Rattus norvegicus: one gene and its partners. The protein of the gene in region 3 purifies or fractionates together with the protein of the main gene of each other region. This does not show direct contact. Links are inferred from orthologs where the notes say so. Each region holds a gene or a part of one and is shown on either strand. Other genes may lie near its edges. The genes, in order: Flna, Asap1 and Cttn.

The links.
Region 1: the proteins of Cttn (region 3) and Flna purify together in Homo sapiens (affinity purification with mass spectrometry; 3 studies listed by BioGRID and IntAct, with this or other methods). This does not show direct contact. The link is inferred for Rattus norvegicus from reciprocal best matches to the Homo sapiens genes CTTN and FLNA.
Region 2: the proteins of Cttn (region 3) and Asap1 purify together in Homo sapiens (affinity purification with western blotting; 6 studies listed by BioGRID and IntAct, with this or other methods). This does not show direct contact. The link is inferred for Rattus norvegicus from reciprocal best matches to the Homo sapiens genes CTTN and ASAP1.

The regions. Positions count from the first base shown.
Region 1 is NC_086039.1:157,161,907-157,165,403, forward strand, and holds part of Flna (filamin-A), read right to left. Parts: intron 3,072-3,497; coding exon 2,943-3,071; intron 2,750-2,942; coding exon 2,576-2,749; intron 2,479-2,575; coding exon 2,317-2,478; intron 2,093-2,316; coding exon 1,889-2,092; intron 1,810-1,888; coding exon 1,657-1,809; intron 1,544-1,656; coding exon 1,421-1,543; intron 1,333-1,420; coding exon 1,066-1,332; intron 911-1,065; coding exon 773-910; intron 557-772; coding exon 441-556; intron 1-440. UniProt on the Homo sapiens protein: Promotes orthogonal branching of actin filaments and links actin filaments to membrane glycoproteins. Anchors various transmembrane proteins to the actin cytoskeleton and serves as a scaffold for a wide range of cytoplasmic signaling proteins.
Region 2 is NC_086025.1:97,979,053-97,983,333, forward strand, and holds the start of Asap1 (arf-GAP with SH3 domain, ANK repeat and PH domain-containing protein 1), read right to left. Parts: upstream 2,899-4,281; 5' UTR 2,811-2,898; intron 2,581-2,810; exon of another isoform or gene 2,135-2,580; intron 1-2,134. UniProt on the Homo sapiens protein: Possesses phosphatidylinositol 4,5-bisphosphate-dependent GTPase-activating protein activity for ARF1 (ADP ribosylation factor 1) and ARF5 and a lesser activity towards ARF6.
Region 3 is NC_086019.1:209,061,717-209,065,796, reverse strand, and holds the start of Cttn (src substrate cortactin), read left to right. Parts: upstream 1-1,280; 5' UTR 1,281-1,343; intron 1,344-1,425; exon of another isoform or gene 1,426-1,576; intron 1,577-4,080.

The DNA of each region.
Region 1 (3,497 bases), on a different chromosome or scaffold from region 3:
CTGGTGTCCAACATGGTTTAAAGAGGGAGAGCCATTGATCTGTGAGGGCAGCAAGCCACAGCCATACCCCCAACCTCCTATCCCCTAGACAAGTTCTCTGCAATCACACCCAGGTAGCAGAAAAGCAAGGTGCCCCCACCCTATAGGTAGCACTTAGCTCTAACAGGCTGTCCCTCTTTAAACCTCAGCCCTGGTGCTCAATGGGCACAGGCTTCTGTTCAAAGCCTTTAGACCTGAGACACGAGAAAAACTCCACGCAGTGGGCAAGGCACTTCCTGCCAACCTCAAGCATGGGCTGTACCCGGCCAGAGCAGAAGCCTACCATCCAGAATTGTTTCTGGGTAGGCCACTCAGCTCAGGGCCAAGGCCTGCTTGCCATGGTGACTCTGGTCTGGCCGGGCCCAGGAGCCCCAGATGGGCAGTTTCTCTCAGTGCCTCACCTGAAGACTAGAAACAGTAAGGCGGCGGGCGTCACCAGACGGAGAAGCCACAGGCACCACGAAGGGGCTATCAGGTATGTGTTCCTCGTTGAACTTGACTGAGACCTCATAGTCACCTGGACAGAAAGAAAACATAAGGCTATACTAGAGGTGCCATATATCCCCAAAGGCTAGCCTAGGAAAAACCTCTTGCCTCCCACAGTCAGCTTGGGTGTCCCTGAAATCTCAAAATGGAGAATAAGACCCAAGTGGAGACCATGTAACACCTGGGTTCAACAGAGCCACACTCAGGTCCTACCTCTCCCCACCCATGCCATTTCTGTCCCGAATACCTGGCTCCTGAACTACGTAGGCCACACCACAAGAGCCATCCTTTCGGTCCTCAAAAGAGATCTCAGCCTTGCTAGGGCCTTCAACAGCAATGGCCAGGCCTCCAGCGCCAGCTTCCCTAGTCCAAATGCCGAACTCCGCTGTAGAAAAGCAGTGTGAGCTCATGAAGCAGAGGACTGGTTCCCAGCCTCAGCCAAATCTAAGCAAAGCCAAGATCAACATGCCTGCTGGCAACTTCCCACAAACACCCATCTTGGCCCACCCAGAATAGCAATAATTAGACAAGTACACCTACCTGGTACTCCAGCTTCAGCCCTCTCTAGGCCAGGGCCTCCAGCACGGACCTTGTGAGCACCCCCTTCCCCCAGAGGTCCCACAGTGAACTGGAAGGGGCTCCCAGGTACATGCTGGCCCTTGTACTTGACACTGACTGTATGCATCCCCATCTCAGCAGGCACAAATCGGATACAGTAAGTATGGTTCTCTCCTTCTACAATCTCTGCCTCATGGGTCTTGCCTGATGGGCTGGTCACCTGGGCTGTCATATCTTGGATGCTAATTTCTACAAATAGAAGATAGCTTGGTGAGCAGGACCCTGTTTCTCTACTTATGTAGGGTTGCCCCAGGAACCCTCCTGATATTTTTCTTACCAGGAATCTTCAAGCTGAGGTCACAATGACTGCCAACATTGGCCACAGAAGGGGCACGTCGCCTGCGTGTGATACTCTCTTTTACCCGGCCCTCACCTGTCACCTTCACAGAAAAAGGACTGCCTGTAGGAAAAAAAAGTAGAGTCCATACTTTGCACAAGTTACAGGTGGGCACTGGGGTGTGTCCAGGAATGCTGCCAAACCATGGTGGGGAGGGGTATAGCTGCCACACTAACCAGGCACATGTTGGTCAGCAAATTTGATGTTTATAATGTAGTTTCCAGGCTCTGTGGGACAGTAGGTGACCCTGCATGTGCCGTCCTCCAGGTCCTCTGTGTTGATGTCTACTTTGCTAGGGCCCTCAATGGACAGACTGAGCCCACCATAGCCTGGGAGATATATAGCAGCTATAAGCCAGAATGACAAGAAAAGCTGTATTGCCCCAAGTGGCAAGCCACCACTGCTTACCTGCATCTCTGGTGTCAATAATAAACTCTGCAGGCTCAAAGGTATGGCCTTCATGGAGGCCTTGACCAGAGACCCTTACACGGCTGGCATCACCTATCTCCGACTGGCTGATCACTACTGGGATGGGACTGCTTGCCACATGCTGGCCATTCTTCTTCACGTGTACCAGGTGCTCCCCTGTCTCCTTGGGCACGAAGGAAATCCCTAGGCATAGGATAGGGCTATCAACAAGGTGTAGTCCCATAATCTCCTTCATTTCTCTCTTTGTTTGAAGACAGGGTATCACAGGCTAAAATGTCTTTAACTCATTATGTAGCCAATGATTGGTTCCCCTTATTCTCCTACCTCCACCTCCCAAGTATTGGGACTATAGGTAATCACCACACTCCTTCCTTCCCAGAAACTCTTGCTGCCTCTTAACCTCTTACCCACGTGGCCATTACGCAACCGTTTCAGCAGACAGGGTTCCTCTCGACCTGAAGGTGGCACCACAGTGGCTGTGAGTAGGCTGAGGTCTGTTTCTGAGATGTTGATGGGGATATCAGCAGCAGAACCCACCTTTAGGTGGGACATACGCATGGAATCATCACCTGGTAAGGGTGCAAGCCATCAGCCACTATAGATCCAGCCCAAAGAGACTATACCCCAGTGCTGCCTGTTCCTGTCATTCCTCCTGATGCTCCCTACCTGTTACTCTGGCAGTGAAGGGGCTGCCTGGGATGTGCTGGTCATTGTACTTGACTAGGATGCTGTAGTCACCAGGCAGCACAGGCAGGTAAGAGACACTGCATGTCCCATCCTGGTTGTCAGTGCAGCTGATTTCTGCTTTAGATGGACCCTCAATGGCCAGAGACAAGCCCCCTGGAAAGTATCACAGATAAGAGTAAGAAATGTGCCGAGGCACACATTGTTGAACCTTTGTGAGTGAGTTGACTTGATGGCTCAGCAGCGCTGTGAAGGTAAGGTAGAAAACTCCATTCAGGATCATCTCCCCCCACAGCTCTCAGCCAACAGAAGACAACTTGGACAGAGCAAACCTAGAGCTTCTCCTTACCTTCTCCTGCATCCTTGGTGTTGACAGTGAAGGTGGCAGGTTTGTTGACCACTCCATGGGTAAGGCCAGGACCATAGGCAGTGATGTGACCACAGTTGACATAATCAACATAGAACTGCAGAGGGCTTCCTGTGGCCAGAATAGAAGCCACATGGAATACTAGCCTCATTCATGTGCTAGTCATTTTGTTTTTGTTTTTGAAATAGGATCTTATGTTTCTTTGGCTGGCTTTGAACTCACTGTGAAGCTAAGGATGACCTTGAACCTCTGATCCTCCTGCCTTGAGGGCTATGATTATAGGCATGTGCCATGATACCTAGTTTATTCAGAGCCTGATGTATGCTAGGCCAACAGTCTACTAACTAACTTATTTTTTTTTTTGGTTCTTTTTTTCGGAGCTGGGGACCGAACCCAGGGCCTTGCGCTTCCTAGGCAAGCGCTCTACCACTGAGCTAAATCCCCAGCCCCTACTAACTGACTTATAACCCCACCCCAGCCTGTCCTTCCTAAGATGATAGCAACATGGACCTAAGATGGAGTGGACAAGAGGCAATA
Region 2 (4,281 bases), on a different chromosome or scaffold from region 3:
AGCAGGTGTTCCATGTATGTTTGTGGAATTGATTAATTAAATGAAAGAGCATAATCCTGACAATGAAAGATGAGGCTGAAAAGAAGAGGCCTTGAGAACAGGGTGCTATTCATCTTTGTATGACTAGTACCTCCCACAGAGGAGCCACTTAGCAAATGTTTACTGCATACAAGAATGACTCAATCCACATGAATTTGAGAAAGGCTGTCCTTTCTGAGAAAGACTTCCAAGGAGTTCCCTCTTTGGGGGACCCGTGTGTGTGTGTGTGTGTGTGTGTGTGTGTGTGTGTGTGTGTGTGTGTGAGAGAGAGAGAGAGAGAGAGAGAAAGAGAGAGAGAGAGAGAACATGTGCACATCTGCCTGAGTACACATACCAAGGAGTGAACACAGGATCAAATGGGGTCTCTCACTGTACCTAAAGCTAGGCCAAGGCAACCATGCTGTCTTCACCCACTCACTCAGTGGGTGTGGATTTACCAGGGCATCTAGCTTTTTACATGCATGCTAGAGATTTGAACTCAGGTCTTTATGCTTGTACAGCAAACACTCTTCCCCACTGAGCCATCTCCCTAACACTCTCTTGGTCCTTCTTAGGAGGCAACAAGTCGAGAGCACGCAACAAGTGCTTAGTGTCACTGTCATCATCGCTTATGTAAGGATCATTTGTGCAGATTTCTAGAAAAGCCCTTGGAGCCCATATCAGATACACCAGTGAGAGAAAAAGAAGAGGGGAGGAGAAAATGTAAAGGGACCAGGAAGATCCCATCAGACACAATGAGACCTTGGTAGGGAAAACCCACGAAAAGCACAGGTACAAGGGGCTCTCGTTTCCCCTAGACCGCAGCCACCTGGGAACAACATGGAGCAGCCAGCTGGGAGGAGGGCCCAGACTAGGAAGGCTAGGCTTGAATGCACACATTCATCTCTAGCCTGCAAGGCCTGCATTGGTATTGAAAATCTATCTGGCTGTGGTTGGGGAGGACTGGAGAGGTGTAAGGAATTTCAATTTCCTTCACCAAATGGCAAGCTTGTGAAAAAGTCCTTTCTCTCCAACATTATCACATACTAAAAATGAAAAGCCAGCCACTCAGCTTTCAAGAAGAGGAAACTAGGTGGGCTGCCTGGCTCAGAGAGAGAGGAGGACTCAGAATCGAGACTTCTGAAAATCTCAACAGCACATTCTATGTCAAGACAGTGCCGGTTTGGAGTTTGTCTGTTTGAAACAAAAAAAAATGGAAGACTAGAGAAAAGCAATTCCCCATATAACAACTACCACTATACATTTCAAATCCATTTGGTAGCTGAATCCCAAATCCACTTGCATCAGTGAACAGAAATTGGACAATGTCTTTTCTTTTTCTTTCTTTTCCTCTTTTGCTAACTCTTAAAATCATCCTTCGAGTACTTAAAATCATTATGCATTCTAAACAGTAATTTTTAAACTCCTAATCTCAAAATATGTTCTTTGAGATAACTGCATGTCTCTAAAACGGCGGCAATAACAGATAAGAGAACAGGAGAAGGTGCTAAAGTGGAGACCGTTGAGAGACACAGTAACACTTGTGGCTGGCAGATCACAATCTGGCATAGTCACAGAGGCCAGGCCCCAGAGTTTATAGACTTGGAAGTTAGCTATTCCCAGCCAGGCCACCAAGTAGTTGTGTCCTTAGACAAAACAGGTCTCTTTCTGAAACTCTTCCACATTAAAAGAGAAAACAGTTGTTTTCCGAGATTCTTTTCTTCTATGGCCCCCTCAGCCCCATTCCCAAAGGCCTTCTAGTGGCCGAGCAAGAAGACCTGGCCACTCAGGCTAGAACAGACATGAAACTGGCCTAAAAACTAAATTCTGTGTTTTACAGTCTCAAAACATTACTCAGCAATCCTGTATCACTGCTATCCTAGAATCAATTCTGCTAAAACAACCTGATGGAGTCGATACAAGGAGGAAAATGGTCTTTTGCATCAGTATGCTAAGGGTAAGGTCAAGTTAACTTGGTCTAGACTTAGCTAAGCCTCTCCTTGATAAAATGAACCCGCCCTACGAGGGCGCGAGATGATGTATCTGGATGAATTAAACAGTAGAAAACCAGATACCAGCGAGTTTCTCTTTTTCCCCCCGTTTCGTTTAAACTTACTGTTGCTCTCATAAAAAGCATCAGGTTCCAAAATTGTACAAGCGGAAGACACAAGGCACTTCTCGGTTCCCACGGGGGATTACCACCCCCATTCCCGGCTTCTTTTGCTTTTAGTGGTCTGGGGCCTGCCTGGCAGCGCCATGTCCAGGCCGGGACCCACGCCGAGGGGAACTTTCCTCCGCTGCGCCAGAGACAATGCGGCGGCCAAAGCCCGCGCCTCCCCGCCGCGCGGCTCAGAGAGCGCCCCGGGATAACCGGGAAAAGTGCCGGGGAGGAGAAGGAAAGCGCCCCAGAGGGCCGGGAGAGCGCCCGAGGGAAGGGAGAGCCCCGATGGGAGGGGAGAGTGCCCGGGAGGACAGAGAAAGCGCCCCAGCGGACTCCGAGAGCGCCCCAGCGGCTGCCCGGGCCTCCTCCCTGAGCTGGGAGCCTTGCGCCCTGGGCGCACGCCCCCAACCGGAGTCGCCTCCGCGGAACAGGAGAACGCGCGCTCCGGCGCTGCGGCAGCGGAGTTCCCGGTCCGCCCCGCCAACCCCTGCAGAGCCGGCCGCGCGCCCCGCACGCCCCCGGCTGGTGCTCTGCGGGCAGACGGGGACACCCGGAGCCCACAGGGGTGTCCGGGTGGCCGTGCAACGCCCCGCCGCGCCTGTTCCCGCCGCCCCGCCGCCTCGCCACTCACCGGGACCGGGCGGGCCGCTGGGCATTATTCCATCACGGGCGCGGCGAGGCCGGGCGAGGCGCGGGAGCCGAGCGCGGCGCAGGAAGGGGCGGGTGACCATGTGCCGAGGGGGAGGAGGAGGAGGCCGGCGACGCGGAGCCGCTCTCTCGAGCCCGCTCGGCGGCGACGGCGGGCGCGGGCTGCAGGAAATCCAAACACTTCAGCAGGAAATCGGAATCCTGACTAAGCACTCCCGGCCCGCCGCTGCCCCGCGCCGGGGGCTCCCGCCGCGCTTAACCCTTGGCCAGCCGGCACACTTCAGGGCTCAGGAGTAGGACCGTGCAGGAGGAGATGCATGGGGTGGGCCTCCTTGGCCACAGAGAGCAGAGGTGGGGCTTATCAACAGAGAACCTTGGCCTTGAAGTGGGGCTTGCTAAAGCTAGGACACCAGAAGACTGTGGCCTCTCCCATCCCGCCATGACTTCTCCTAGGCTACTTTCGCCTGTTCCTTCCCGTCGATTTCTATCTTTTTACCCAGTGCCTGGAGGGAAAACCGTTTGGGTCAGCACACCACACTGATGATCTGGCATATCGCACATTCCGGTCTCTGAAGCCTGGTTGGAGAATGGCCTTTTCCTCTTTCCTGCAAATGATTCTTCCTTAAGCCTCAGTTTCTCAAATAAGAAAGGAGTGTCATAGTCTTCATTTGAAAACAAGATGCTTAGACAGGGATGTTGGCAACATCGGTGATACCCATGCTTGGGTATTGCTGCAATCTAGAGACTTCAGAGAAAGGAGGCTTCTAACTTGTAGGGTGTGTATTCTGCATGTCTGTGTGGACCTACACAGCTCAGGGGCAGGTCTGGCCTAAGGGTGTCAGTTTCTCCTTAATTACAGGTGATTGTTTTTCTTTGAGTCTTGTCTGTAGAAGAAAAGGTCAGCCACTGCATAGACCCTTTTCTGGTGAAATTAGAAATTCACCAGGACTCACAAGATTTGAGATTTTGTTTTTAACCTGAGGGTGGGAGACTTCGGGGAGGGCATGTTAATAAGCCTTGAGATGCCCCTGGAGGTTTAAGAGAACCAGCAGGGGAGTCTGGGCAGCCATTGGGAGTGATTCATTGTGGTTTCCCCAGGAAATGCCACATTTTACCTGTAGGCTGCAGTTTGGTGGTTTTGCTTGAGTGTTTCAGATTCCTCTGACTCCGAGATTTAGAGGAAGGACCACGTGCGTACAAGCGAGAACTGAAGTGAACATGCTGGGAACTGAAACTTGGGTACCAGCTTGTCTCCCAAGGACGAACAGACCTGTGCTTGGCAGCCAAATGCATGTCTTTTCTCCAACACTTTCACTGGTTACAGGTCACAGGAAAAACTCCAAGCTGGGCTCCAGGAACCCAACCAGGGATTCCTGTCCTTCACCTACCATCCTATCTACATTTGGGAAAGAACCTCTACCGGTCTGAAGTTGACAGATAAATCACAGAGCAGA
Region 3 (4,080 bases):
CCCTCTTTCATCTCCCCTCTTCTCTTCCTCCTCTTCTTCCTCCTTTTTCTGGAGCGAGAGACAGAGACAGAGAGAGAGAGACAAGGTCAGAGACAGAGAGTCCATTGCTGGGCTGATCTGGACGATACTGGCCTCTAAGTGATCCACCCGCCTCTGTCTTTTTTTTTTTTTTTTTTTTCCGGAGCTGGGGACTGAACCCAGGGCCTTGTGCTTGCTAGGCAAGCGCTCTACCACTGAGCTAAATCCCCAACCCCTACCCGCCTCTGTCTTATTAGCTAGCTTTGTATATAGTCCAAGAGCACCTGCCTAGGGATGATGTCACCCACAGTGGGCTGGCTCTCCTGTATCAAGACAATCATGTCCACAGAATAACCTGAATAAGACAAGTACACATTTGAGACTTTTTTTTTTAAAAAAAGGTGATTCTAGGCTGTGTCAGTTGATAGTACCAACTAGGACAGATGGATGAGTGAATGGATGGATAGGTAGATGGATGGTGGCAGGTGGGTGGATAGGTGGTATATTGGTTAGTTTTTGTCAACTTGACACAAACTAGAGTAATTTGGGAAGAGGAAACCTCAGTTGATGAATTGCCACCACCAGACTGGCCTATAGACAAGTCTGTGGGGGCATTTTCTTGGTTAATGAGTGATATAGAAGGGCCCAACCCACCATTGTGGGTGCCACCGGTACACAGGTAGTCCTGGGATGTGTAAGAAAGCAGGTTGAGCAAACCAGTAAGCAGCACTCCTTCATAAGTCTCTGTTTCAGTTCCTGCCCTGTCTGAGTTCTTGTCCTAACTTCCCTCCCTCAGTGATGAACTGTAATTTATCAGTTTTTCTCCCCGAGTTGCATTTGACCAGTTTTTTTAAAAATCATAATTAGGAACCAGATAGATGGAAGAATGGATGAACAGATGGATGGATAGATGAGTGGGTGGATTAGTAGATGAGCAGAAGGACAGATTGGTAGGTGGGTGGGTAGCCGATTGATAGGGGAATAGATAATGCTGTGTAGAGATCCATGCGTGGGTAGAGAGTTGCAGGGTGGTGGATGCATGGTTGGAAGCTGTGTTGAAGGTGAATGTGTGTTGGATAGGGGTTGGCAGGTATTTCTAAGTCGGATCTCCGCAGCAAGTTGGTGTCCAAGCCGCCGTCAAGTCCTGGAACTGTGCATCCTGCTTCCCGGATCAGCTAACAGTTAGGAATATGGGGCGGGGACGGCCTGGAATAGGGCGGGATCTTGCGTGGCCCCGGATGCGGCCCCGCCTCCGCGGAACCGGAAGTGAGCGGGCACAGGGAGCGGCGGGGCGCGGCGGGAGCCTGGCGGACCCTGCTGGTGCGGTGAGCGGGGGATGGGCGTCCTAGGGAGCTGCTGGGGGACAGGAAGGGTGTGGGATGATGAGTTGTCAGGGTACAGGGCCTGGACGGGAGGTTGGGGTACAGGGTTGGGACCGGGACCCAGGGGATCCGGATGCGGGGCCCAGGGGTGCAGGGCCAGGATCCGTGTATCGTGCCTCGGGGTGTAAGGCTTGGACCCCGGAGTCAGGATTCCAGGCCAGGACCAGGTGTTCTCGGTGTGGGGCCGGGATTGTGACTTGGGGTGCGGGGCCGGGATCGGGTGTCGGGACCCGGAGTGCAGGGCTAGGATCGGGGGTTGGAGTACAGGGTTAGGATCGGGTGACTAGGGTGCAGAGCCAAGGCCAAGGGTTCGCGGTGTGAGGCCAGAATCGGGGAGTTGGGGTGCATGGTTATGGTTGGGGTGCGGGACTGGGATTCGGGGTTCGGAGTGCAGGGCCAGGATTGGAGACTCGAAGTCCCTGGTCGCAGGGTCTGGATGAGAGCATCGGAACCCCAGGATCGGAGGTTTCGGACTCCAGTGCTGAGCCGTTCATCCGGTCATATGTGGAGTATCTAGGGGTTCCCAGCCGGTCAGGCTCTGAGGGGGCGGGCCCTAGGACACAGGCTCTAGGAATCCTGGGCATAAAGGAAGGGGTTGGGCTCCAGAGCAGGATCCCAGGATGAAGTGTGAAGTAGGTTTGGGGTGTTCTAGGTCAGAGTGCATAGTTATGGGTCTGTGTTAGTCCGAGCACCAGACCCCAGGAAAGGAATGAAGACCTGAGGCCTTGGAAATGCTGGTGGGGATGAGGAGACTTCGGTCCTACAGTCTGGTGGAATGATGAGGACCTGCGGGAAGTTGGGGAGCCTGGGGTTCCAGAACTCAGTGGAATTATGAGGGTCTGAGGGCCTGTAGGAAGTTGTTAGGCTGGACAGCCATGTTCCAGAGCCTCCTAGGATTGGTCACTAGCCCTCTGGGCTGGGCTGAGAGGCCAGCATCTGAGGAGGGGCCTGGGCACCTGAGGGAAATTTGCAATGGGGTCAGTGGAAATACAAGCTTCTAGCTTGCATCCTGGAGCTAGGGAGCCTGGAATCCAGCCGCCCCTCCTCCTGGGTTTGTCCCCAGTCACTGCAGAGGTGTTTGGGCCTGGTCTTTCCCCCTCCTTCCTCTTGGTCTGCATGAGGGATGGGGACTTGTGGGCAGGGAGAAGAAATTCCATTTTGTGCTCAGTGAAGCAGAGGCTTTAGTCCTTCCTAGTGGTTTTACCTGGCTGCACTGACTGGGCCTTGTCAGTAGCTGGAGATCCTGTAAGTCCTTACACCCAGTAGACCCCCACAGTCAGAACTTACAGGTCCCCTGTCCACCAGGGGCCAGGCTGATAGGGATCTGAGAGCCGGCCTCTGCTGGCTCACCCAGAGTGAGTCACCAGTTCAGGCCCTGAGTCAACACTGCTTCTCTACTTGACTGAGAAGGTTTTCACCAGAAATTTGAAGGAGAAGCAGCTTTAAGTGGGAACTTCAGATGTAGAAGATTGCAGAGGTGGGGTTGAAGAACTGATTCTGGTACTAGGTCTCCAGAGGCTTCTTCTTCTGATGGCATTGAACCCCGGGCCTTGCAAGACAGTTTCTCTACCCAGCTTTAGCCATGGCCCTAGAGCTGACCTTTAATTGAGGCCTTGTGACAGTCGTGCCTTCAATACCTTATAAATGCCAGAGAATGTAATTGGCCCTTCAGACCTTTAGTCTGTTACTTGGGAAGCCACTTAGTGTAATTCAGCATCATCCTGAGTGTCCTTACCTCTTTGTGCCCCTGTTTTTTGTCCTGGGCATGGTAGTAACTGCCTACCACCTGGTAGTCCCGCCTACCAGGACTCTTAGTGGTGTCCTGGGCAGGCTAGCCTACTCGCTCTGTACACAGTTTCTTGCTGGCCTCAGTAGGCATGGGATAGGGGTTGCCCTCTCTACAACAACTCCCGACCCAGCCACCTTTGCTCTGCTGTGCTCTAGGTATCAGGTTCAGGGCCTCAGGATGGCGGATTCTTCCATCTTGTGACTGGGTCCTCTGTGGCCGAGCTTCCTGCTGGCTGTGTGGGGCTGAAAGGCTTTCCATTTGTTTTCTGAGCTTTTGTTTAGCTTTATTGATATAGTTCACCCCACACTCGATTCCCCGATTAAAGGGTTCGTTCAGTGGTTATCTGTGTATTCAGAGTTGTCCGCCCATCACCACAGACCGTTCTGGCCTTCTCAGAGATCTACATAGAACACGCATGCCTGGGGTCCCAGTGGCTGGGAGTGCTAAGGCAGAGGACCTTGAGACCGAGGAGTACTGACTAGCCTAGGCAGCAAGCCTGGAGTCTGTCTGTGTGTGTCTGTCTCTCTTTCTGCTCCTCCCTCCCACTCCCTTTTTGGTGATGGCTGGGATGCATTTGAGATGGATCTCTGTATCTTTGTTTAACCTGAAACTCACTGTGTATACCAGCTGGCCCTAGTCATCCTCCTGCCTCAGCCTGAGTGTTGGGATTATAGGCTGTGGGCACACACTACCAGGCTGGGCTGCTCTGCTCTGTCCTTTAGAAAAGAAAGAAACTGGATATCTTAGCCTTGACTTTCCCCTGATTAGTTCTCCTCTCAGCTCTCCTCCCACACCACCCCCACATCCCATTTGCTGGGGATCAAGTGCAGGGCCTTGAACACACAAAGCTGTATTCCACCCATGAGCTCCAGCCCTGCCTTTCTCCACCCT